3 linked regions of the Cricetulus griseus genome follow. The protein of the gene in region 3 interacts with the protein of the main gene of each other region in a pairwise test. Links are inferred from orthologs where the notes say so. Each region holds a gene or a part of one and is shown on either strand. Other genes may lie near its edges. The genes, in order: Mapk9, glycine N-methyltransferase and Arrb1.

Evidence for each region.
Region 1: the proteins of Arrb1 (region 3) and Mapk9 interact in binary tests that used the Homo sapiens proteins (3 or more experiments, as listed by UniProt). The link is inferred for Cricetulus griseus from reciprocal best matches to the Homo sapiens genes ARRB1 and MAPK9.
Region 2: the proteins of Arrb1 (region 3) and glycine N-methyltransferase interact in binary tests that used the Homo sapiens proteins (3 or more experiments, as listed by UniProt). The link is inferred for Cricetulus griseus from reciprocal best matches to the Homo sapiens genes ARRB1 and GNMT.

Annotation. Positions count from the first base shown.
Region 1 is NC_048600.1:64,315,864-64,323,580, reverse strand, and holds the start of Mapk9 (mitogen-activated protein kinase 9), read right to left. Parts: upstream 5,186-7,717; 5' UTR 5,119-5,185; coding exon 4,997-5,118; intron 4,619-4,996; exon of another isoform or gene 4,422-4,618; coding exon of another isoform or gene 4,378-4,421; intron 1-4,377. UniProt on the Homo sapiens protein: Serine/threonine-protein kinase involved in various processes such as cell proliferation, differentiation, migration, transformation and programmed cell death.
Region 2 is NW_023276806.1:256,141,331-256,148,964, forward strand, and holds the end of glycine N-methyltransferase, read right to left. Parts: 5' UTR 5,866-7,634; coding exon 5,660-5,865; intron 3,816-5,659; coding exon 3,688-3,815; intron 3,146-3,687; coding exon 3,035-3,145; intron 2,856-3,034; coding exon 2,713-2,855; intron 2,620-2,712; coding exon 2,498-2,619; intron 2,404-2,497; coding exon 2,232-2,403; 3' UTR 2,057-2,231; downstream 1-2,056. Other genes in the region: Pex6 (peroxisome biogenesis factor 6), read left to right, coding at 1-130, 228-289, 484-592, 868-984, 1,112-1,189, 1,301-1,440, 1,613-1,749. UniProt on the Homo sapiens protein: Catalyzes the methylation of glycine by using S-adenosylmethionine (AdoMet) to form N-methylglycine (sarcosine) with the concomitant production of S-adenosylhomocysteine (AdoHcy), a reaction regulated by the binding of 5-methyltetrahydrofolate.
Region 3 is NC_048596.1:99,978,916-99,986,773, reverse strand, and holds the start of Arrb1 (beta-arrestin-1), read left to right. Parts: upstream 1-3,781; 5' UTR 3,782-4,003; coding exon 4,004-4,059; intron 4,060-6,705; coding exon 6,706-6,736; intron 6,737-7,858. UniProt on the Homo sapiens protein: Functions in regulating agonist-mediated G-protein coupled receptor (GPCR) signaling by mediating both receptor desensitization and resensitization processes.

The sequences.
Region 1 (7,717 bases), on a different chromosome or scaffold from region 3:
GCAGAGCAGAGGGAGTTTTCTGGGCCTGGTAGAAAGCCTCAGGGTCTAATTTCTATTCTCCAGCCACAAGGACTGTTCCAGCAGTCCCTTTCAGAATTCAAATGATCCCAAGAAACAGTCAGCCCCAAACACTGGGCTTCCTATACTAGGCTTGAATGATGTGGCACTGACTCTTTAGGAACTTCCTAGCTTTCTAAGGGCAATGGCTGGGCATGGAGAAGGACAGTATGAGAATGCTGTCGGCAAACTAGAATCTGTTTCATAGATGTGTTTCCTGGCTTTAGCCTCCTCCCCAAATTGGTCTTGGTATTTACAGTTCCCCTGGAGTTCCATGGGAGAAAGTCTCCCTTTCTAGTTACAATCAACCCTCTACTTACTCTCACATCCTCTGCTGTGTTATCTGGATCAAGACCCCCAACTTATTTTAACATTGCAGATATTTATTTAAAACTTTTTGGCTGAGTGGTGGTGGCACACACCTTTAATCTCAGCACTTGGGAGGCAGAAGCAGATGGATCTCAGTGAGTTGGAGGCCAGCCTGGTCTACAGAGGGAGTTCCAGGACAGCCAGGACTATTAAACAGAGAAACCCAGTCTGGGGGGGAAAAAAATGTTCACTGATTATTGTCAATCTCTTTGTTTGGTTCTTTGATTTACCATCTTATGTCAGAAGTTTCAAGCCATCATTTCAGAGGTGAAAATGTGAAAACTCATGAAGACACAGTGGGCTGCCCAAGATTACAAAGTCCTTTACCTGAGCTCAGAACCCAAGTCTCCTATCTCACAGCCATTATGTGCTTCACACCAAGAACCTCCTTGTCAAAAACATGTTATTCTGGACATTATTTATGGTTTGTTTATATTTATAGAGGTAATTAAAACAATTTGAGATGAGTGTTCATGCTTACAGAAAGCTGAAAGGAAAGCATATAAGATCTATCTATATTCATTATTTTGCATTAAGATTGTTTTGCACTATTTTGCATTAAGATTGCTACTCCTAGGAACTGCCAGACCCAATATTAAAAACTTAAGAAAAGGGGTAAGCATGTCATAGAACCAAAGGTTTACATTTTGGACTGAACAACTTGGGATTTTAGAAGGAGAAAGGAAAAGTATACACTAAATCTCAACAGTATATATAACTTAGTAGGCATTTAAGCTCTAAAATGATAATATTTAAAAACTTATTTCCTAATAGGTTTTCCTATCATCTTCTAAGAAACAAAAACACAGAAACAAATCAAATAAGCCAACAACTGTAAAGACAATTCAGAACAGGAGGGGAAAGTCTGGGAACGCAGCTGGACAACAGAGGCTTGCCCAGCACATCTGAAGCCGAATCTGATGTTTAGCACTGCAAACAAAACCAAAAATTAAATTAGGGGTCAGAATATTTTATCCTGGCTCCAGCTCTTATACTTAACTCTGTAGAGCACCATGGCTCTGGTGCACACCTAGCCCTATGTATACAATGGTCTAGTTTAACAAAACTAACTAGGTTAGAAACCACGAAGTGGTGCTAACACATTTTATTTCTCAAACCTGTAAAAATACACTTGCTTCTTAGTTTCCAGTGCTGTTCTTGTGGCTATTGAATGGCCACAAGTTATTGATTTAAAACAACATACATTTATTGTCTTACACTTCTGGAGTTCAGAAGTCCAACATTAGTCCTAAGGGGCTAACATTAAGATCAGCTTAGCTGTGACCTTCATGGAAGCTCTGGGAAGAATCCATTTCCTTCCTTTTTCCAGCTTCTAGAAGCTTCCTGCATTCTCATCCCACAGCACTCCACCTCTGTGGTCCCATTTCCTTCTCTGACTAGGACATTCCAGACTCCCCTTTGTAAGAACAACTTCCAATTACACTGGCCGGGCCCCCACCTCAAGCTCACTGATCTGTTGCTTTGTTTTCTATACGGGGTCTCACTCTGTACCTCAGGATGGCCTTGAATTCACTATGTGGTCCAGCCTGACTTGCCACTTATAGTAGTTCTGCTTCCAGAACTTGAATGTTAAGATCATTAATTTAATCAAGGCTGCAAAGTTCCTTTTGTCCTGTAAGGTCACACATGCACAGAAGTCTAGGCTTAGTATGTAGCTATCTCTAAGGAGCCATTATTTTGCCCATTACACCCCCAAAGGTTCACTGATGGACATTTTTTTTAATCTAATCCTTTTTTTAAAAAAAGATTTTATTTACTTATTACAATACAGTTATCTGCATGCATGCACACCAGAAGAGGGAACCAGATCTCATTACAGATGGTTGTGAGCCACCATGTAGTTGCTGGGAATTGAACTCAGGTCCTCTGGAAGAGCAGTCAGTGCTCTTAACCTCTCAGCCATCTCTCCTGCCCCCAATGGACATTTTTAATGTACAAGTACAATGCTAACAAAAAGTTTAAGACTATTAATAGAAAAATGGCTAGCTCTTAATGATAAGTGGTAGAAAATCCAGTTCCTATTGTCAAGGTAGCAGCTTATCCAATATTGAACTTATTTTAGCAAAAGTAAACTTTTTGTTTTGCTTTAATAGGAATGTACCATTACCAGATCATTCCCCTATCCTAACTGATACCATACATCTGGGCAAAGGATAAAAACAAAAGAGGAAGTGGGGGACAAGTACAATCACTTCTGAAGGTTTTACTTTCCTATATTAGAACATACTATAAAACTGTCAGTTACAAAATTAAAGTATGTATACATATGTATACATGGGTGTGTGTATATATATGCAAATATGTATGAATACATATACCTGTGTATATACATACACATATATCTGAGTGTCTGTATGTATATATGTACATATGTATGTATGCTTACATATGTATGTAGGTTTTTGGTGCTAGCAAGGAACCCAAGTACTTCCATATACTATGCAAGCACTATACCACCGAGCCTCCTCTCTAGCCCTAAACAGTTCTTGGATGTAATCGACCTATGGAGATGGATATAATTCATTGAGAATTTCTAAAGAGGTATTTAATGAATATTGATTTGGTCATTGTTATTAAGATTTTAAACAAAAATTAGGTCAGAGTCCTGGTCAGTGATTCAAGTCATCAAGTTCTAACTAAGTGCAATAAAGTTCCAAGAGATCAACAGGTGGTTTAGACCCAGATCTATCCCTAAACCCATGGGACAAAAACAAGTCAATGAGCTAGTCCTCAACTACATCACATATACAGAGACTGTCAGGGCAGATCTTGTGTAATTATATACTATATACTATCTACTTCACTTTTAAACTTCAAAAACAAGTCAATAATGGACCCAGTGGATAAATGAAGCCCATATTTAATATGGATGCTCTGTCTACCTCCCTCCAAGATAATTCATATCCCCCCTTCCTCCATCCTCTTGTCAAATTACTATCTAATTCCAAGTAAGAAAGAGTTTACATATCAAATAAACACTCATTACTTTCTATTACCACCCACGTTACAACCTGAGCCATCCCACTGACTTTAAAACCTTTCTTGTCACAAGGGTTTAAATCTGGTTTGATCATCTTCAGAGTAAATTCAAAATCTCAGCACTCCAAAACTGAAGCTTTTTGAGCATTACTGTGGTACTCGGAGTACTGGATTTTGGAGCATTTCATTTTTCAGGATTACAGATGTCCACCAGTAAATACAAATATTGAAAAGTGTGACAAAAATCTAAACTCAGGTCAGGCGTTGGTGGTGCACACCTTTAATCCCAGCACTCAGGAGGCAAAGGCAGGCAGATCTCTGTGAGCTGGAGGCCAGCCTGGTGTACAGAGTGAGTTTTAGGACAGCCTCCAAAGCCACAGAGAAACCCTCTATCAAAAAATCAAAAAAATAATAATAGTAATAGTAATAATAATAATAATAAGTTAAAATCTAAGCTCAGAAACACTTCTGCTTCCGAGCAGTTCAGATAAAGGACACTCTGCCTGTACTAGTGCTCACTGTCACTTGGAAGTTAACACCCCACTATGTGCTCACAGCTGGCACTCCCTCCATGTAGCACCTTCTTCCCTAGTTTCTTCTCTGAGCACCCAGGTCTCCCCAGTTGCCTACATTAAGGAAAACAGCAGATTTCCCTGATCAGAGTCTCTGCAGTGGAGTATCAGCTGAAGCCCACTGATGATGCCATGCTCAGCATCTTCACAGGAAAACCAAAACTCTCCTCCTGGAATGCCCAGAAGAGGACTTTTATTTTCAATCCTCTTTGCCTACCAGCTGTAAACATTAAATGTTTTATGTAATCACAATTTTTTTAAAGACAAAAAAACCTTGTTTATCACTGGGGAGGGAGGGGGGTCTCATCCAAAAACTACAGTCTAAAAAGTTTGGGAGGTGCTGATAACGGTAGTCTAGAAAACACGTGAGAAACGTTACCTTTGTCTGGCCAGTGATGTCGCAGCAGCTGACTGTCTTACCATGCAAGAGCCTAAGGTTCAGGGTCAGACCAATGGTTCTGACGTCCTGGGCTGGACACATAGTTGAAGAGAGACACCAAAGAAGAGACGGCCAGCCCAACCCCTCACACAGCATCCCTTCCTGGTTAATCCATGGTGTGATAATGACACTGCCTGGCCTCATCCTGCCAATGAATGGCAAGGCACTGCAATGATGGCGCCTGGAAATGAATAGGAGTGATTGGGAATAAAAGGAGGAGGGGGGAGAAGGTGGCCATGATGAAGAAATGAATAAAACGCCAAATTCCAGTTACACCTCACTGAATACCAATTATTCTGATATCATAATGACAGGGCAAATAAAAAAGAAAACAAAGAAAAAGAAACCAATAAATAAATAAAACCAATAACAAAGCAAAAGAAAAATTGAGTTTGTATCCTATAAATGACTGTATATAACTATAGCAAGGATTGATTTAGTTTAGCTCAAAATCTAATCTACAACAGGGGGTATTTTTTCAATCAGTGTTTCTAAACTATGATTTAGTTTTACTTTTCACTAGAGACTTAGTCTATGCTATTAGAACGCCCAGACTTACCAAACAATTCCTTGGGCTCCAGAGCCAATCGGTTTCAATTGCTGGTAACGTTTTAGGACAGTGAAAGTTGAGTCCGCCACTTGCACACTGTAAAACTGACCATCACTTTTACTGTCACTCATGATGTAGTGTCATACAGTATTCTGAAGAGATGCTACCTTCGTCAGATCCCTAAGGAGAGAAACAGAATGAACTGATGAGCTTACCAAATTGTACACTAGGATCTCAGTTCATAGTGGGTCCGATCTGCTGGAATGTAAAGGTATGGCTATGAGATGGGAAAATCAGCTTGGCCAAGATCTCAATTTAAGCAAGGGCACATCCAAAAAAAAACAAAAACAAAAACAAACAAACAAACAAACAAACAAAAAAACCCAGACATTTCAGTGGTGTAAGACCTTCAAAAGAAGAAATTAAAACAAAATTTTTCTAACATTTATTTTATGCATTTGGGTGTTTTGTCTGCACGCATGTATGTGCATGCCTGGAAAGCTGTGAGCCACATGTGGGTGATGGGAATGGAACCTGGGTCCTTTGGGAGAACAGTCAGTGCTCTTAACTGTTGAGTCACTGAAAAGGATTGTTGAGCCCTGAAAAGGAATTTTGAGATGCAGGAAGGCCACATTTTTAAAGGACTGTATTATAATAAATTGTTGGAGCTGGGGATACAGCTCAGTAGTGAGTGCTAGCATGCATAAAGCTGAGTTCACAGGAAAAACAGGTATGAAGGGGTGGAGAAAGATCCACTTCAGCAGAAAACATTTACACATTATTCCCAGCCATGGTAAGCCCACTATGTCACTGATGTGTCTCATCCATTTCCTTCTTGGGGAACCAGCTTATGTGTAGAAATCTCAGCTAGAGATGGAGCATTATTTCAGAATGATTGATTCTAGAGGTCCTGGAGACAGCAAGAACTGGGCATCTAGGTGTATGGATCCAGGCTAATATGATGAACCACAAAGTGAGACTCCTGTGCCAGTATAACAGGCTGTCTTGAGGATTAGAGACACTGGTATGAAGTGTGTGTCCCACAGATGAACCTGTTTCACGAAGGTGGAGCCAGAGTTGGCCTTCATTCCCTGTACCCCAAGCTCAGCTACAGTTCACAGTAAAATAATTATCTCCACTCTACTTATATTCACAAATATGGCTATAAACCAGTGGCTTCAGAAAGTAGTTTTCTTCTGGTTTGGACAGCAGGCTGATTCCCCCAATGGGCTTGGTCCTCAGAAGTGGGTGCTGTTTGGGAAGATGAAGAACCTTTAGGAGGTGTGACTTGGCTGGACAAAGTGGGTTGCTGGAGGACAACTTGAGGGTAACAGTTTCACTGCTTCCAGCACCAACGGCTCCCTGGTCTGTGGAGACTGAGGAACCCCAGCAGCAGGCTCATACCACTGTGTACTCCATCAGGGTGGGCTGTACCCTTGTAAGGCATGAGCCAAAATAAATCCTTTCTTCCCTAAGCTGCTGTGTCATGCATTCCATCACAGTGACTAAAAAAGGGAGAAATGTGACTGATATGCTCACCCTGTGAAAGGTAGGAAGAAGTTAACTGAAAAATTAATGAGTTATTATTTTGGTCTTTAAGATGCCAGCAACAATGGGAGGGAGAGGGAACTGGGATTGATATGTAAAATAAGATTGTTTTTAATTTAAATTAAAAAAGAAAAAAGATGCCAGCAGCAAAGCCATAGAGGCAAACATTCCATAAACAATCTTTTTCTACATTACCTTTCTCTCTCTCTCTCTCTCTCTCTCTCTCTCTCTCTCTCTTTTAAATTTTTCCAGACAGGGTTTCTCTGTGTAGCTTTGTAGGCCAGGCTGGCCTCGAACTCCCAGAGATCTGCCTGCCTCTGCCCAGCTTATTTCTATAGCACTACTAAACCCCTGCCTTTCTTGTTCCACCATTTAATATTTAATGTCCACCTGATGAGTTTTCTGCAATGAGAACTTTCTTCTCAACACAGTGATGCCTAAATTTCCTTTAAACATGGAAATAAGTTAGAAAAGGCTTAAACAAAGGTTTGAGATCAAAGAAGCAATGGAAGCCATATGCTAGAAACAGTTCAACTGCCCACCAGCTAGATTACTGAGTTGACCTTGTGGGGCAACGCCATTCCCATTTCTGGACCACCTGCCTATGCTGTGACTGGTACAAATCTCAATTTTCTCTGGCAACTCCCTTTAGCTGCTCACATCCCAAAGCTGGGCTAGTGTGATACAAGGCTAACTTCCTTGAATTTGGGGATGAGATCTAATCAGACTAGGCTCAGGAATTAATATAACTTAATCCCAAGACTTAAAATCATTCTAAAATTAAGATAAAGCACTTTTGTTAGGCAAAGAAAAAAATCATCTAAGGAAGAACCTTTCAAAGCCACTCCTGTTAAACTTGGGCTGCCTGAGAACAAGCCAAAGGCCACCCAACCCACACACATAAGACAACCTGAGAAAACAGGTAAGTTAGCTACTAATGGATTTATTCAGTTGCAATGACATTTTAAGTAAAAGGTCCATAAACTGGGGCTCAGAAAAAGCATTTTGCAAGCAGGGAAGTACAAGCATTCCTCAAGCAACCATATTAGCCACACATCCAAACCTGGATGTCATGCCACCAGCATGGGTCCAACACAATGTCCATCCATGCCACTTCTACAGTCTTGGCAGCATGCTCAGCTGGGTCTATAAAGGCTTTTATGGGTCTGTCTTTTCTCCAGG
Region 2 (7,634 bases), on a different chromosome or scaffold from region 3:
CTCTGGAACATCCTGAGCTGCTAAGCCTGGGCCTGAGACGATCAGGCCTTCTACTCCATGGGCCACCGGGCACTGGCAAGACCCTCTTGGCCAAGGCAGTAGCCACTGAGTGCAGCCTCACCTTCCTCAGGTGGGCAGTGCTTGGAAGGACATGTGGGAGGGAAGAGAAGACAGCTGTACCCACTATACACATCTGATGGGTCTCACTCGCCCACTCTGTTGCTCAGTGTAAAGGGACCAGAGCTCATCAACATGTATGTGGGCCAGAGTGAGGAGAATGTGCGGGAAGGTGAGTGAGCAGGGAGGGGGCCTGGGGTCCTTCTTCAACCCCAGTGGCCCTAGTGCCACCTCCCTCCCCCAAGCTGTTGCTCACGGTCAACCCAGTTGGGCAATTGCCTCAGCTGCCTGTGCTCAACTGTCAAGACCCATTTCCCATCCCCCTCCCCTGATTTGAAGCTCCTCGACACCACTCTCCTTTCTCAGTGTTTGCCAGGGCCAGGGCCGCTGCTCCATGCATCATCTTCTTTGATGAACTAGACTCCTTAGCACCAAGCCGGGGGCGAAGTGGAGATTCTGGAGGTGTGATGGACAGGTCAGGGGTTCAGAATGGGAATGGAGTCTGGGATCCCAGATGGGAGGGATGTGAGATTAGTCTTCTGATCCGGGACCTGCCCTTCCAATTCAGGGCTAGTAGAATGGACACAAAAAAGGAGTTGGGTGTGCAACTTTGAGAAGGAGGGCTGCCTTTGTGGAGAGGGACAGGGGGCAGAACTCAGCAAGGGTCCTTGCTGAAGTAGCCTTCAAAGAGAAGCATTGGCAGCATGAGGGCATACCAAGGACACTCTGGCCTTTGCCTCCTCTCTACAGAGTGGTATCTCAGCTCTTGGCTGAGCTGGATGGCCTTCACAGCACTCAAGATGTATTTGTGATCGGAGCCACTAACAGACCAGACCTCCTGGATCCTGCCCTTCTGCGGCCTGGCAGGTGGGTATCCTGAGTCCCTCTCCTCAACCAGACCCCTTTGGGCCTGTTTCTTGACTTCTATTTTGTATGTCTTTCACTTCTCCTGGCTGGCAGCCCTGACACTTTTCCTGTTTCTGTCTCTTTGAAGATTCGACAAGCTGGTGTTTGTAGGGGCAAGTGAGGACCGCGCTTCCCAGCTGCGTGTTCTGAGCGCCATCACACGCAAGTATGCTTTGTCACAGGGCTGAGGCCTCGGGATGGCTAGGGGATGTGCCAGTCAGTATGGCTTTTCAGGGGAGAGCTGAAGCCAGCTATAACATTTCTGTATGGGTAACAGGTTCAAGCTGGAGGCCTCTGTGAGCCTAGTGAACGTGCTGGATCGCTGCCCGCCTCAGCTGACAGGTGCAGACCTCTATTCTCTCTGCTCTGACGCCATGACAACTGCCCTCAAACGCAGGGTTCGAGACCTAGAGGAAGGTGAGACTACTCACCAGCCCCAGATGGGAACCAAAAAGCTCGTGGGAGACAGGCCTGGCCCTGAGTTTACTTCAGAGGGACAGCTGAGCAGGAAGGTGCCGCACAGACCAGGCCTCGGTTCTCCAGCTGCGTGCGTGCGTGTCTGACCTTACTCTTTCTTGCCGCCCCTCAGGGCTAGAGATGGGGAGCTCAGCACTGCTGCTTACCATGGAGGACCTGTTGCAGGCTGCAGCCAGGCTGCAGCCCTCAGTCAGCGAGCAGGAGTTGCTACGATACAAGCGCATCCAGCGCAAGTTTGCCGCCTGCTAGGAGCTGCCTGCCATCTTTGTCTGCATCTCCCCACATGTCTGAAAGTACCTGTACCATGTCACCTGAAGCCTGCCTTCCTCCAGGAGATCCCTTGTGAGCCATAGTAGAAGGCCCTTGTGTTTAGAAGGAGAGCCAGGCCTGGCAGTCTGGGAGCTTGGCAGCCTGGGGAATTGGTGTTGAGGCACCAGTTCTATGACAGAAAATAAAGTCTGTACTGCCCCTGCTGGTGTTGTGAGAGGTTGCCTTGCAAAGGGCAAGGTTTTGGGAGGAGTAAGGTCTAGGGGAGGGGATGGACACCATGAGAGCAGATTACTTGGGAAAGAAACACAAGGAGGATTGAAAAAGGCACAGACTGTATTGCTGATTGCCCGTTTGCCTGACCCCACATCCCTGCACCCAGCTGCAGGATCTGTGTCAGATGTTGGTCTTCGGGTGAGGCTGCCATTGCCTGGTCAGGGGCCTTATTGGAGCCAAAGTCACCTTCAGTCGGTCTTCTTGAGCACGTGGATGAAATAGCAGGGGATGTAGGCCTGGCCGGGCCTATAAGGCTTGAAGTCGCCCAGGACACTGTGTTGGCACTTGCCCCCAAAGGCTGCTTGGAGCAACTCCGTGAAGGACACCAAACAGTGTGGGTAGTAAGAGAGCCGGAACTTACTGCAACAGGGCCCCCAGCCAAGCGTGAGGGCTGCTGGCCTCAGTTCCCCCACCACCACCACCATCTCCTCATTCCTGCCAAACCATGCCATACCTGAAGCCAGGAGAGCCATCTCTGCCAGAGCCTGGCACCTGCACTGTGTAGTCCAGGGTTACCATGTGGGCTTTGTTGTTCACTGCCAGCACTGATGTTGTGATGTCCTTGGTCAGGTCACTCTGTAAGCAGTGGCAGCAACTATATTAGCTTCCATAAGCCACTATGGGGCTTCTGGCCTCCCAGCTCACACCTCCCACTCAGGCCAGCCCGACCTTATAGTAGATGTTCTTCCCTGGGGGAGCACAGCCCGTACTGAGGATGTAGTCGTAGTTGCGGTGATCGATGACCAGCAGGCCCCCAGGCCGCACCATGCTTGCAATGTTCTTTAGCGCCAGCCGGTGCTCACTCTGATCACCTGGGTACCAGGCAGGGCCACAGACACTATCTGCTTGGGCCTCCAGCACCATTCGCCCTCCCAACTCCCTCCCAACTGCCAGCACTAAGGAAGAGAGGCAAAATGCAGGGCTGCCTTATTAAAGCCAGCCAGCCAGCCACCCACCATTGGGAGTGGTGGAGCTCAAGGCAAAAGCTCACCTTTGCAGTCTGGCAAGTGAGCAAAACTGTTCCCAAGGCAGATGACAGCATCAAAACCATCTCCTGCAGGCACATCTTTGTCCAGAGTCAACCAGTTGGCTTCTTCAATGACTGGAGGCCGGGGAAGGAGGACAGAATCAGTGGCATGACAGTACAGCATCAGCCATCTCCACCCAGGGACACAGGGGATTCATTAGGGACATGGAGGATGAAATGGGAGAGCACCATTGTTGGAAAAGCTAAGAAAGACAGGATGCTGTGGACAGGTAAAAGTTGTACAGAACCCTGCATATGGTGTGCACCTCTAGTCCCTGCTGGTTGGAAACCTGAGGCAGGAAAATCACTTGAACCTAACCTAGCTAGAGCAGGCAACATGGGAAAACAAAATGCTGACAGTGTGTGACAGTGTGGCTCAGGTGTCAAGTGTCTACTCAGCATGCCCAAGATCAACCCAAGCACCAAAGATAGAGCAATCTCATTCTTAATACCTGCTCTCTCAAAATGATGTCAAAGCCTTCCATTTTAGGAAGGTGACAGGAACTGCACTATACCCTGAGGAAAAATGGTCAGCCCACTCTGCACAAAAGAGGCCAGGGCAGAGAGAAGAGTGGCCCTGGGAGTGTATGGCTGGGGCTCTGGCTGGACCTACATACCCCACTTGTCAAAGGCTGGTTCCTTCCTCCTGTTCCAGCGCTCCTTAAGTGCATACTTCAGCATCTTGTCACTGGCATCCACACTCGTCACACTGAAGCCCTCTTCCACCAGCATAATAGAGTCCACTCTGGATGAGGTCAGAGGTGAGGGACTGAGAGGGCCAGTCGGGAGAGTGGGAGGCCAAGGAGGATGCCATGCACATGGCATTTTACCAAACATACTGTTTCATAGTTCTTTCCTCTGCCCCCTGTCTCAGGCCACCTCCACTGACCTCAGGTGATCCCATGAGTATATTCCTTTTTTTTTTTTTTTGTGGGGACAGGACTTCATTGTGTAGCCATGGTAGTCCTGGAACTCACTCTGTAGACCAGGCTGGCCTCAAACTCAGAGATCCATATGCCTCTGCCTACTGAGTGCTGAGATTAAAGGTGTATGCCACCCCACCACCAGGCACGAGTATATTTCCTTATCACCAGATAGCAACAAGTTTTGGGGTTTTTTTTTGTTTTGTTTTGTTTTGTTTTTAAGGTTTTTAGCCTGGTTTACATAGTGAATACCAGGATAACCAGGGCTACAAAGAGAGACCCTGCCTCAAAAGAGAAAAAAAATTTAAATGTAATTTTATGTGTCTTGTCTGAATATGTGCATCATATGCATTCCTGCTGTCTGCAGAAGCCAGAGGAAGACGCTGGGTCTGGAAGAGCCTAAGCACTCTTAACTGCTAAGCCATCCCTCCAGCCTATTAAAGATAGGGTCTCATGTTGTAGCCTTGTATGGCCTGGAGTGCACAGAGATCTACCTACATAGGTCTCCCTGTGTGCTGGGATTAAAGGTATGTGCCACTACACCTGGCAGCAACATTTTTAATTTAAATTTTAAACACCCCCACACCACACCACCCCTGCAGAAAGACAAGGTTTCTCTGTGTAGCTGTAGCGGTCCTGGAACTCTGTAGACCAAGCTGGCCTCGAATTCACAGAGATCTGCCTGCCCCTGCCTCCCAAGTGCTGGGATTGAAGGTATGGACCACGACCACCCAGCTTAAATTTTAAATTTTAATCATGTCTGTATGTGTGCATGTGACTGCAGTGCCCTCCAAGGCCAGAAGAGGGCATTTTGTTCTGGAATGGAGTTACAAACTATTGTGAACCACCTGATGTAGGTGCCAGGAACTGAACACCTGTGTAATGCAAGAGCAGTGGAGGCTCTTGGTGGCGAACCATCTCTCCAGCTCAACACTTAAAAAAAGAAGTAATCGGGCCCGGCATTCAGGAGGCAGAGACAGGCGGATCTCTGAGTTCAAGGCCCATCCTGGTCTACAGAACGAGTTCCAGGCCAGCCTCCAAAGCTACAGAGAAACCATGTCTGGAAAACAAAAAACAAAAAACATCAGAACCAGACACTATACAAATGTACATTTGAGAACTCAGCCTACCAAGGCTCCTGGAAATAAATGCAGTATGTGCCCTGTGCTGAGTCCGAGTATGGGACAGACACTAACTGTCCTGGTCTGCATCTGCTCCACCAAATGTGGGCCTTCGTACTAATTGGAGCTTCCTTGGTACTAATTGGAGAAAATCACTACTTACCTCATGGGTTTTGTTGTTTGAAACACATGTACCCAAACTCTTGGCACAGCATTTGGCTGTGCAAACGAGGCACACATGGTCTGTTCACACTACCCGAGGCCATCACAGGAGGAGCAGCGCTAGGGCCAAGGATCCAGCTTGACTCGAAGTCCGGCTTTTGCTCTGTCCCATGAATCCTGTGCTTGCACCCTCGCCCCGGGCCAGGTCTCCTCGGCCCCCTCCCACACTATTTTGACAGGTGCTTTCTTTCATCATGCCCATTCTACCCCAAGGGCAGGGACTGCTGCCTGCCAGGCTCCCGCCCTCGAAGGCCGCCCCCACTGGCCTTCCTGCGGTGCTGCGGGCCGTCCTGGCTAAGCCCTCTCAGCTCGCTTGGACTCACCCTGTGCCACAGGCCACGTCCAACACCCGACGGCAACCATGCTGGCGCAGCAGCCCGAGCAGCCACGCCTTGTACTCTGCGGTGCGGCTGCGGGTGTCCCCGATGTACAGCTGCCACACGCGTGCGGCCTCCCCGTCCGCATACTGGTCCGGGAGCCCTTCTGCGGCCACCCCCAGGGAGCGGGTGCGGTAAATGCTGTCCACCATCCTGACCTGCGCCTGGCTCTCAGGCCGCGAGCGAGCGAGCTCCGCACTTATAGTCCTCAGGCCGGGCAGTCCACCTGGCCAATGGCAGGTAAGAGAGGGGATACGCCCCTGCTGGGCCCGGAGCCCCGGGAACCGAGCCAGGCTGCCTCCGCAGTGGGGATGGATGGCTCAGCCAGGCAATCCTGGACCTGGGTTTCCCCATAGTGAGATAGAACAGATAGAACGCAGCTGGGCGGCCAGGAGCTAGGAGGAGCCGAGAGAAGACAAATCAATGAGTGCCCAAGCCATCCCTACCCAAGTGGGAAAGGGAAGAAACCTTTGGAATACCCGCTAAGCAGAATTAGACCACGCCCAGCACAGTAGGGTGCCCCTCACTAATAGTCCACACAAGGAACACCACACAGAAAAGGGCCACTGTTTCTCCGGGTGATGGAGAAAGTCTTTGACGAAGATGCTGATGTGTCTATTCAATAAAAAGAACCGAGTCCACTTGGAGATACGTGTGTCTCTCTAGGTGACATCAGGCCCCTCCTTCCTCCCATCCCTTTTCAGGCCAGGGGCCTTCTGAAGTAGTTTGGGCCGTCCAATCCCTGAGCTATACCGAACACTCTCCTAAAGGCTGGGTGCAGTGAAACTGAGGAGCTGGAAGAACGCCCACAATTGTGCGATCGTTTTTAACTTTTTTAAGTAATGTGTATGGTTGTTTTGACTGCATAGATGTCGGTGTCCTACATGCGTATCTGGTGCCTGTGGAAACCAGAAGAGGGCATCAGATCCCCTGGAACTGGAGTTACAGACCCCATCATGTGCGTGCTGGGATATGGAACCTAGATCCTATGGAAGTGCAGGCAATGTTTGGGTTTTGTTTGGTTTTTATTTGTTTGTTTTTTCAGAACCCAGACAGGGTTCCTCTGTGAAGTCCACCTGGTTGTCCTGGAACTTGCTCTGTAGACCAGGCTCACCTCCAATTCAGAGATCTGCCTGCTCTTCCTCCTGAGTACTGGGACTAAAATGTGAACCACCACCGTCCAGCTGCAGCCATGGATTTTAATTAACAGTTAAGCTATTGCTCCAGCCCACTTTTTTAAAAAAACTTTTTATTGTTAGTACAGAGCCATTCTCAATGGTTCTGTCCAGGCTCAGATAATACAGTCTCGGGGCTCAGTAGCCCTCACACAGGTCTGTGACACTATGCTCATTCAGACTCTGAAACTGAGTGTGTTGGTGCACACCTGTGATTCCAGTACTTGGGAGCCTGAGGGGGTGAGAGCAGGAGTTCAAGGTTATTCTAGGGTACATAAAGCTCAAGGCCACTGATGGACTACATTAGTCCCTGCAGAGGGAAGAGAGAGAAATTATATTTGAGAATTTCAAGGAAATCCAATGTCATTTATCAAAATATTCTTGGAGCAAATCTAACAATCCTAGACTTTTTCATTCATCTTAAATGGTCATCTTTTATTTACTTAGGTTTTAAAAAAGGCAGAGTCAGCTGAATCTGTGTGAGTTCAAGGTCAGCCTGGTCTACATAGTGAGTTCCAGGACAGCCAGAGCTATGTAGAGACCCTGTCTCAAAAAACAACAAATTGTGTGTTCAGGAATGGCACGGACGTGTGAGAGCTGGTTCCTGAGCTCAAACTCAGGCCATCCATCAGGCTTTGAAGCAAACACTTTTACCTGCTCAGCCATCTTGCCGGCGGCCTTTTGTTGCTTCAGACCAGTGGTTCTCAACCTTCCTAATGCTGGCACCCTTTAATGCAGTTCATGCT
Region 3 (7,858 bases):
GCACTAGGAACATACTCCAACTATGCCCAGATGCTCTGAATCTTTCAAACACCCAGGGAACTCAGCCACCTTCACCTTTGTGTCTGGAAACTGATCCCTGGCATCTCCTCCACCACACACACACACACACACACACACACACACACACACACACACACACACTGCTTTCAATGTTCATCTATGTTGTGGCGTGGATCAGTATTTCATCTCATTTTGTGTCTGCCACATTTAAAATGTACATTCACTTTATCATCAGTCAGGCATTTGTCCCTCTTTGTGGCTACATTAAAGGATGCTACTTGGACATCCAGGGACAAACCTTTTAAAGATGTTTTTTGCTTTCTTGGGTCAATACCTAGGAGTGGGTCAGATGGGTCACATCTGAACTCAGCTTAGCTTTTTGGAGGGGTTGTCTGTCTTTCAAAGAGGCTGCACTGCTGTCCACTTTATGGTCCCACCAACAATGTAGGAGGGATTCACTTCCTCTAGGTTCTTGTCACCTTAGTTATATTGTCCTTTATTGTAACCATCTTAGTGGGTATGAGGAGGGATTAGCATAGATTGATTGGTGTGATATATATATATATATATATATATATATATATATATATATATATATATGAGAAAGAGAGAGAGAGAGAGAGAGAGAGAGAGAGAGAGAGAGAGAGAGAGCGCAATGCACTCCTGAAGGCCAGAAGAGGGTATTAGATCCCATAGACCTGACATTATAGGTGGTTGTGAGCTGCCAAACTGTGGGTGCTGAGTATCAAACTCAGGTTCTTTGCAAAAGCAGCAAATGACCCTAACCACTGACCCATCACTTCAGTTCTGTTTTGCTTTCTTGATAGTAACTCCTTTAGCATAAATATTTAATTTATTTTTCCTTCCTTTAGTTGCTTGTGATTTTGGTGTCAGATTTAAGAAGTTATTGCCTGTTGGGTGATAATTTGACATGCCTTTAATCCCAGCACTTGGGAGGCAGAGTTAGGTGAATTTCTGAGTTCAAGGCCAGCCTAGTTTATAAAGTGAGTTCCATGGCAGCTCAGATTACATGGAGAAACTCTGTCGTGAAAAACAAAACAAATCAAAATTATTGCCAAATTCAAGGACATGAAGATTTGCACACTTAATAGTTTCTTTAATTGTTTCATGGCAGTTGCTTTTACATTTGGGTCTTTGGTCCATTTTGAGCCAATTTTGTATATGGTGTGAAGTAGGGGCCTCACCTCATTCCTCTGCATGTAGACTTATAGCCCCTCTGTTATTTGCTGAAAAGACTATTTTAGCAGGTGTGGTGGCTCCCACCCATAAGGCTGAGGCATGAGAAGCTGGAGTTTGAGACCAGCCTAAGATACATAGAAAGGAAGGAAGACAGACAGACCGACAGACAGAAAGACCGTTCTTTCTCTTCATCACCTTGTCTTAGCTCTCTTGTAAAAAAATCATAAAAATGCCACAATTTGAATATAGATAAATACAGATTGCCACAAATATGTAGGTTTATTTCTATACTATTAATTATCTTTTATTGATCTCTATGTTGTCAGTACCACACAGCCTTGATTACTCTATCATTAAAATAATTTATTGTTTTTATTAATGTGTTTGTCTGTGTACATGTGTGCAGATGCTTGAAGAGGCCAGAGGAGTCATACCCCTGGAGCTGGAGTTACAGGTGGCTGTAAGCTGCACGGTGTGGATACTGGCATTAAACTCAGGTCTTCTAGAAGAGCTGTGTGTGCTCTTAAACACTGAGCCATCTCTCCAGCCCCCTTAATCACTGTATCTTTGTAGTAAGTTTTGAAGTTGAGAAGTCCAAGCCTTCCAAATTTGTCCTATTCTTTTCAGGATTGTTTTGGCAGTTCTTCTCCCTTGCATTCCCCTGTGAATTTCAGGATCGGTTTATCATAGGCATTCTCCTTGTTGGGTTCCAGCTGGTCTGCTGCTGTAACACATGCCTCAGGATTCCAAATTTTTTGTTTGTTTTTTCGAGACAGGATTTCTCAGGATAGCTTTGGAGCCTGTCCTGGAACTCTCTCTGTAGACCAGGCTGGCCTCCAACTCAGAGATCCACCTGCCTCTGCCTCCGAGTGCTGGGATTAAAGGTATGAGCCATCATCACCCAGCTCAGGATTTCAAATTTTACAATCATGTATCTGACAGGACTCAAGCCTCTCTGTTTGTACTACCATGTAGCAGAATATCCAGAACATTGCTGAATTTAGCAGCCACAGAAAGACAGTGTGGTAGGCAAAGCAATGCTTTGTCCCAAGATGTCGGGGTCCTACTCCTTGGGGCCTCTGAATGTTGTGCTATGTGGCAATGGGTAATGATGGTTGCAGATGGGCTTCAGGCTGCTAATCCGATGACCTTAAAACAGAGAGATCATTCTGGATTACCCAGATGGTCCCTGTGTCATCTCAATGGTTTTCAAAAGGAAAGGGAGGGCAGATCTGAGTGATGCCGTATATAATGAGAAGGCCACCTTCTCTCATTGACTTTGAAGATGGAGGAAGGAGGAGGCTTCCAGAAGCCAGAGAGAGTAGGAAGCAGATTTGCCCTAGAACCCCCCAGAAGTAATCAAGGGCTGCTGACACCTTGATTTTAGCTCAAGGAAGCCCACTTGAATTTCTGAAGCACAGAACTCTAGTTAAGTTTGTGTTGTTTGAAGCCACTGAATTCGTGGGACTTTGTAAATAGCAGCCACAGAAAATGAGCTTGAAGGGTTTGGGGACCCATGGATGGTTCCTTCTGTGCCTCTGGCTGAAAGTGGCATGTGACATTTGCACCCGCATTTCATTGGTCAGAATAAGCCACAGGGGGGCGTCCAACTCCACAGGAAGGAAGATGCCTGGCATCCCATACATCCAGCCTCAGGGAATCCTGGTGCCTGTAGGGAGTATCTAGTACATCTTTGTTGCCTGTAGCACTTGTTTCTATAGTCTAGTCCATCCCATTTCATTAAAAATCAAAAAATAAAGCCAGGTGTAGTGGCACTTATGAGGCTGAGGCAGGAGGATCTCTGAGTTTGAGGCTAGCTTGGTCTACATAGTGTGTTTCAGGATAGCTAGAGCTACATTTGTGAGACCCTGTCTTGAAAACAAACAACCAACCTCAAAATATAATCAGGCATAGGAGCGCATGTCTTTAATCCCAGCACCTGAGAGGCAGAGGCAGGAGAATCACTGTGAGTCTGAAGCCAGCTTGTTTGTATTTGAGTTCCAGGACCCTGCCTCAAAAAAAAGGATCTCTGTGTATGTACGTACTGTATGTGTATGTGTGCGTAGAGGCTAGAGGTCAACTATGGATGTCTTCCACTATCATTCTTCACCTAATTTTTTGAAACAGGGCCCATCACTAAACATGGAGCTTTCTGTGAACCCAGAGCTCTTTATGTAGGCCAGACTGTGTGGCCACAGAAGCCCCCGGGATCTGCCTATCTTTGCCTTCCCAGTGCTGAGGTTACAGGTGCAGCCTGCCACATATAGCTTTTACATGGGTACTGGGCATCTGAACTCAAGTCCTCATGCTTGTGAAGCAGGCGATTTATCCACTGAGCCAGCTCTCCGACCTGTAATGTTTTAAGTAGGTTTCCTAATCAACCAGTGACTTGCAACCTCTGGTTTGGACAATACTAATCTCCAGAGCCTCTTCTGCTCATGCTTCATGGACCACAGGCTATGTCCTGGACACAGGTGATTGGGCCAGGGGGTGGGGTACCTAATCAAAGCTGACCAATCAGATTCCTCTCCTGGGAATTTGGAATTGGGCCATTCAGTCAGTTAGCAGCGGGAAGCTGAGTGAGAGGCAGGGTAGAAACAGGGTTGGAGTGTGAGTCACATGCGAGCCCAAAGGATGGAGGAGCAGAAAAATCCCTGAGTAAGCGGGGCGCGCTGGTCCACAGAGACAATGGAGCAGCCGCACAGACAGCCTCGCAGCCAGGAGGCCCTGCAGCAGCCCCAGAAGGAGCGGTGGAGACAGGGAGCTACGGCTTGAGGCTCCGATGGCGTCCCCATTCTCAGCTCCGGCCCCAGCGCATCCTGCCTGCTCATCCTTCCCGTGAGATTTTGGCCTCCTTATTAGGACCTCCTCTTCTTTCTCGAGCTATCCTGAACCTTAACCAGGAAGGACACTGCTGGTCTTTCTCTTTGGGGAACCCAGCTGTGACTAAGGCTCAGGTTGTGGGGCACAGGCAAGGCTGGGGGTGAACAGACGCAGCTGCTCAGCAAGGCTGGCTGGGATTGTGGGCTTAGGTTAGGCCACGGGCAGAGAGGTCTATGCGGTGTTGCACACGTGGGGTTGTGGAAACGGAAAATACCCCATAGAGCCTCTTTTCTGACAGTGTTGGGGCAAGAAGTGAGTGGAGTTTTGAGTGGTGGTGCTTGGCTATGTGATGGAGTGGTTGAGTCTCGTGGGTGCCTCTTCGAGCCTCAATGTCTCCATCTTTGAAATGGGATTGTCCAGGAAGAGCCTTGTCCTGGGAAAAGTACTTAAAGGCATGAGTGGGGAATAATAAACAGACAGAGAATGAGGCAGCTGCTCTTGTTGTTTGAGGAAGCCACAAGAGTCCTGGCTTCCTGAAGGAGGTGGCCTCGGGTGCTGACTAAGGTAGTGGCAGGACATTCCCCACTGATGGCTGTGCTTCCTGCCCCTCTTCAGCCCCACTCTGCCCCTCACCCCAGTCACCTTTCATTTATCCCTCTCTCCCTCCCCTCTTGTCTGTTCTTCCTGCCGTTTTGAAACATGGATTTAGGAAACAGTGGGTTGGATTAAGGCACCAATCTCTGGAGGCCCAGTCAGAAGTGAGTCTGGGTCCCGACCTAGCCCCTTGCTTGCTGTGCTCCTGGGCAAGTTAATGCATCGCTTGGAGCCTCCAGTTAATTATCTGTGGAGTGGGAGTTAGACTATCCTTTCTACTATGAGAAATAATGAGCTGCTCGGCAGAGCTTTAATTCCCCTCCCCTTTGCCTCTCTCCGCTGCTTGGTGAATATTGCTCCTCCTGGCCCCACGTGTGCCTCGTCCTTCCCGGCAGCCACTAGAGTGGCTTTCTCTCTCAGTTGTTTATCCTGCCTGGGTGTGAGATCTTTCCTTTTCCTTAGAGCACAGGCTACCAAGGGCTGGAGGTAATTGTGACTTGGAAGCCACAGGGTTTTCACTTCTCTGGTTTCCTGGAGAAACATGGAGCTCCTAGCTTCTAGCTTGGAGTTGCTGGTTCAGATGGAGTGGTCTGCATTTTTTTCCCCTTACTTTAACAATTATCACACCCTGGCCAGTTGTGGCTTCTTCACACTCCCAACACTGATAAATATTAATGAGAAGACAAGGCTCCCAGGGCCCCTAGGGGAATGTTTGGGGAGAGGCTGGGCCACGCTCTCCTTTGCAAGCAATACTCAGACCTGTCAATATTCCCTAGGTCCCAGAAGGGAGGGTGAGGCAGGGCCATGGCTGTGGAGACCCCACACAGTCACAGGCCTGGATGCCTGCAGATCAGCTTCTGGGAAGGATTGGGGCACACCCTGCTGAGGCTGCCTAGGGGTTTCACCTTTCTGGGTCTGTCCCATCTCTCCCTGCTTCAGGCTTTCTGATTCTTTCCCTGGTTTTCTTCTCCTCCTGTCTCTTGTTCATCTTTTATTTTCATACCTCTACCTCTGTCTCTCTCTTCTCTCTTCACACCTCCCCTCCTTTCAATACCTTTCCTCATCCCCATCTCTCTAGCTTTCACTTTTCTTCTGCCTCTCCCCAGTAATGGCTGAGAAATTGTGGGCTGGATAAAGGTACTTAGGCGAGGGAGACTCGGGTTCCCAGACACAGCTCTAGAAGGGGAAAGGTTGCCATGAAAGGCAAGTGGCACTCTTCAGGATTTAGGGACTACATTACCATCTAATCTCAGGCCCAGTGCTCTGCTATTCGAGCATAGGCATCTGCCCCCACATTCCTGTGCCTCTGTCCCTCAGTGAAGCAATGAAATTCATTCATTTATCTGTTCAACTAGTTTATATTGTACTCTTGCCACCCTCAATCATTTAACAAGTATTTCTTGAACAATAGTGACGTGTGCCTTTGTGTGTGTTTGGGATGTACCCGTGGACAGGAGAGACAGTGGGCATATTTGGAGCGGGCATGCCAGCAGAGCAGACAGGTGGGGCAAGAAGTAAAGTATATGGTCAGGGGGTTGCTGGGAAGAAAGGAAGAGTGAATCAAGAGAAGGACTGGCTGACAGGGGTAGTGGGATTGGGAAAGTGGGCATTTGGGAAGAGTGTCCAGGGTAAGAGAGTAGGGTAGGGGAAACTGGGAGCAAAGGCCTTGTGCAGCAATCACCTGGTGGATAAGGAACGAGGAACAGAGGGGCTGGAGAGCAGTGAGGCTGGAGACTAAGGGAGGGTGGCAGGAGGTGACATAGGGAGGGAAAGAGGCCAGGTCAGATCACTGGGACTTAGCAGGCACTGAAGGATTTTCCTTTACTCGAGCTGGGTGGGCTTGTGAGTCTCCCTCAGCCCACTCTGAAGGATTGAAGGAGGGCTGCAGGCAGCTAACATTCATCCTAGGAGGAGAGGTGGAAGGAAGGAAGCTGTCCTGCTCTGAGGCTTTGCTGGTCCCTGTAGGACACTCAAGGCCTTTATCTATGGCCCTGTCTAGGGTCGCCTGCAAGAGATTGGCTGGGCAGAATCCATTAACCCTGGCTTGGCCTCTCTTTCTTTTCACAGAGTGTTCAAGAAGGCAAGCCCCAATGGAAAGGTGAGTCTGTAGTGTGTGCTGACTCCTCACTGTTCCCACACTCTGGGTGCCTCTGTGGATTAGGAAAGGAAGCAGCATCTCCTGGGAGAGACAGGCACTGTTAGCTGTCTAGGGCTGACACAGCTCTGTCCTGAGGGCCATAGGAGCCCAATGGGATGTGTGGGATGTGGGGGGGAGAGCTCCCTGGAAACTTTCTGTGTGGGCTTCAGGGAGCCCCAGTTGGGGGAGAGATGGACTGGCTTCTCCCAAAGAGACATCAGTGTGAGTGTGAGAAACTGAGGCAAGCTGGCCACTGTGACACCATCAAGTCCCCTGGTGTGAGAGGTCATGGTGTCACCTCATCCATCCATCTTTCTTCTGGGACTCCCAGGGCCTGGGCTTCTTGTTTGCTTGCACAGGCTGTAGGCTGTATCCCATTTTACTCTGTTCAGCAAACAGGTAGTACTGACATCTATGCTAGGTCGGGGCTGGGACTGCTGGGGGTTGGGAGGGTACCAAGATAAGAGAGGCATGGTGCTCCCAGTGTGAAAGTTGATCATCTCACACAGAATGCCAAGTGTGAGATTCTGGGATGCCCAGGGACTGGAAGACCTTGCCTGGGATGTGTGTGTCAACCATGGCTTCTTCTGGAGGTGACACAGTTCTAGGCAAAGCTAGGTGAAGAGGGGGATCTCTAGGGTTGAGCATAAAATCCAAGAAAGTGTGGGGCATCCCAGGGTTGTAAGTCTCCAAGCGAAATGAAGGAACAGTGTAGAGGATGACACAGGGCACATGGCAGTTTCCTGTGGCTGGGCTTAGCAGCTCACACACCCTGGGTTGCCTTCTGCATGTCTATATCTCCATTTGGAGTCCATCGTTAATCATCTTTAACCTCTCCTGCTGAGCCAGGATCAGTCCTATCTTGGATTCCTTGGCAATCTAGGGCCACAGGCATCCCAGACCAGTCAATTAGATTTGGTACTGAGAATGAAATCGGACTGTCATCCTTACCCCTGAGGCAAGGGAAATGGTTAAAGGGTTTTCAGAAAGGCACAGCTGTCTGAAACAGCTGCTTGCTTAGATTTGCGTTTTAGGTGTGGCTAAGGTGATGTGAGCAGCTGGAGGCTACCAAATGTCAAAGGG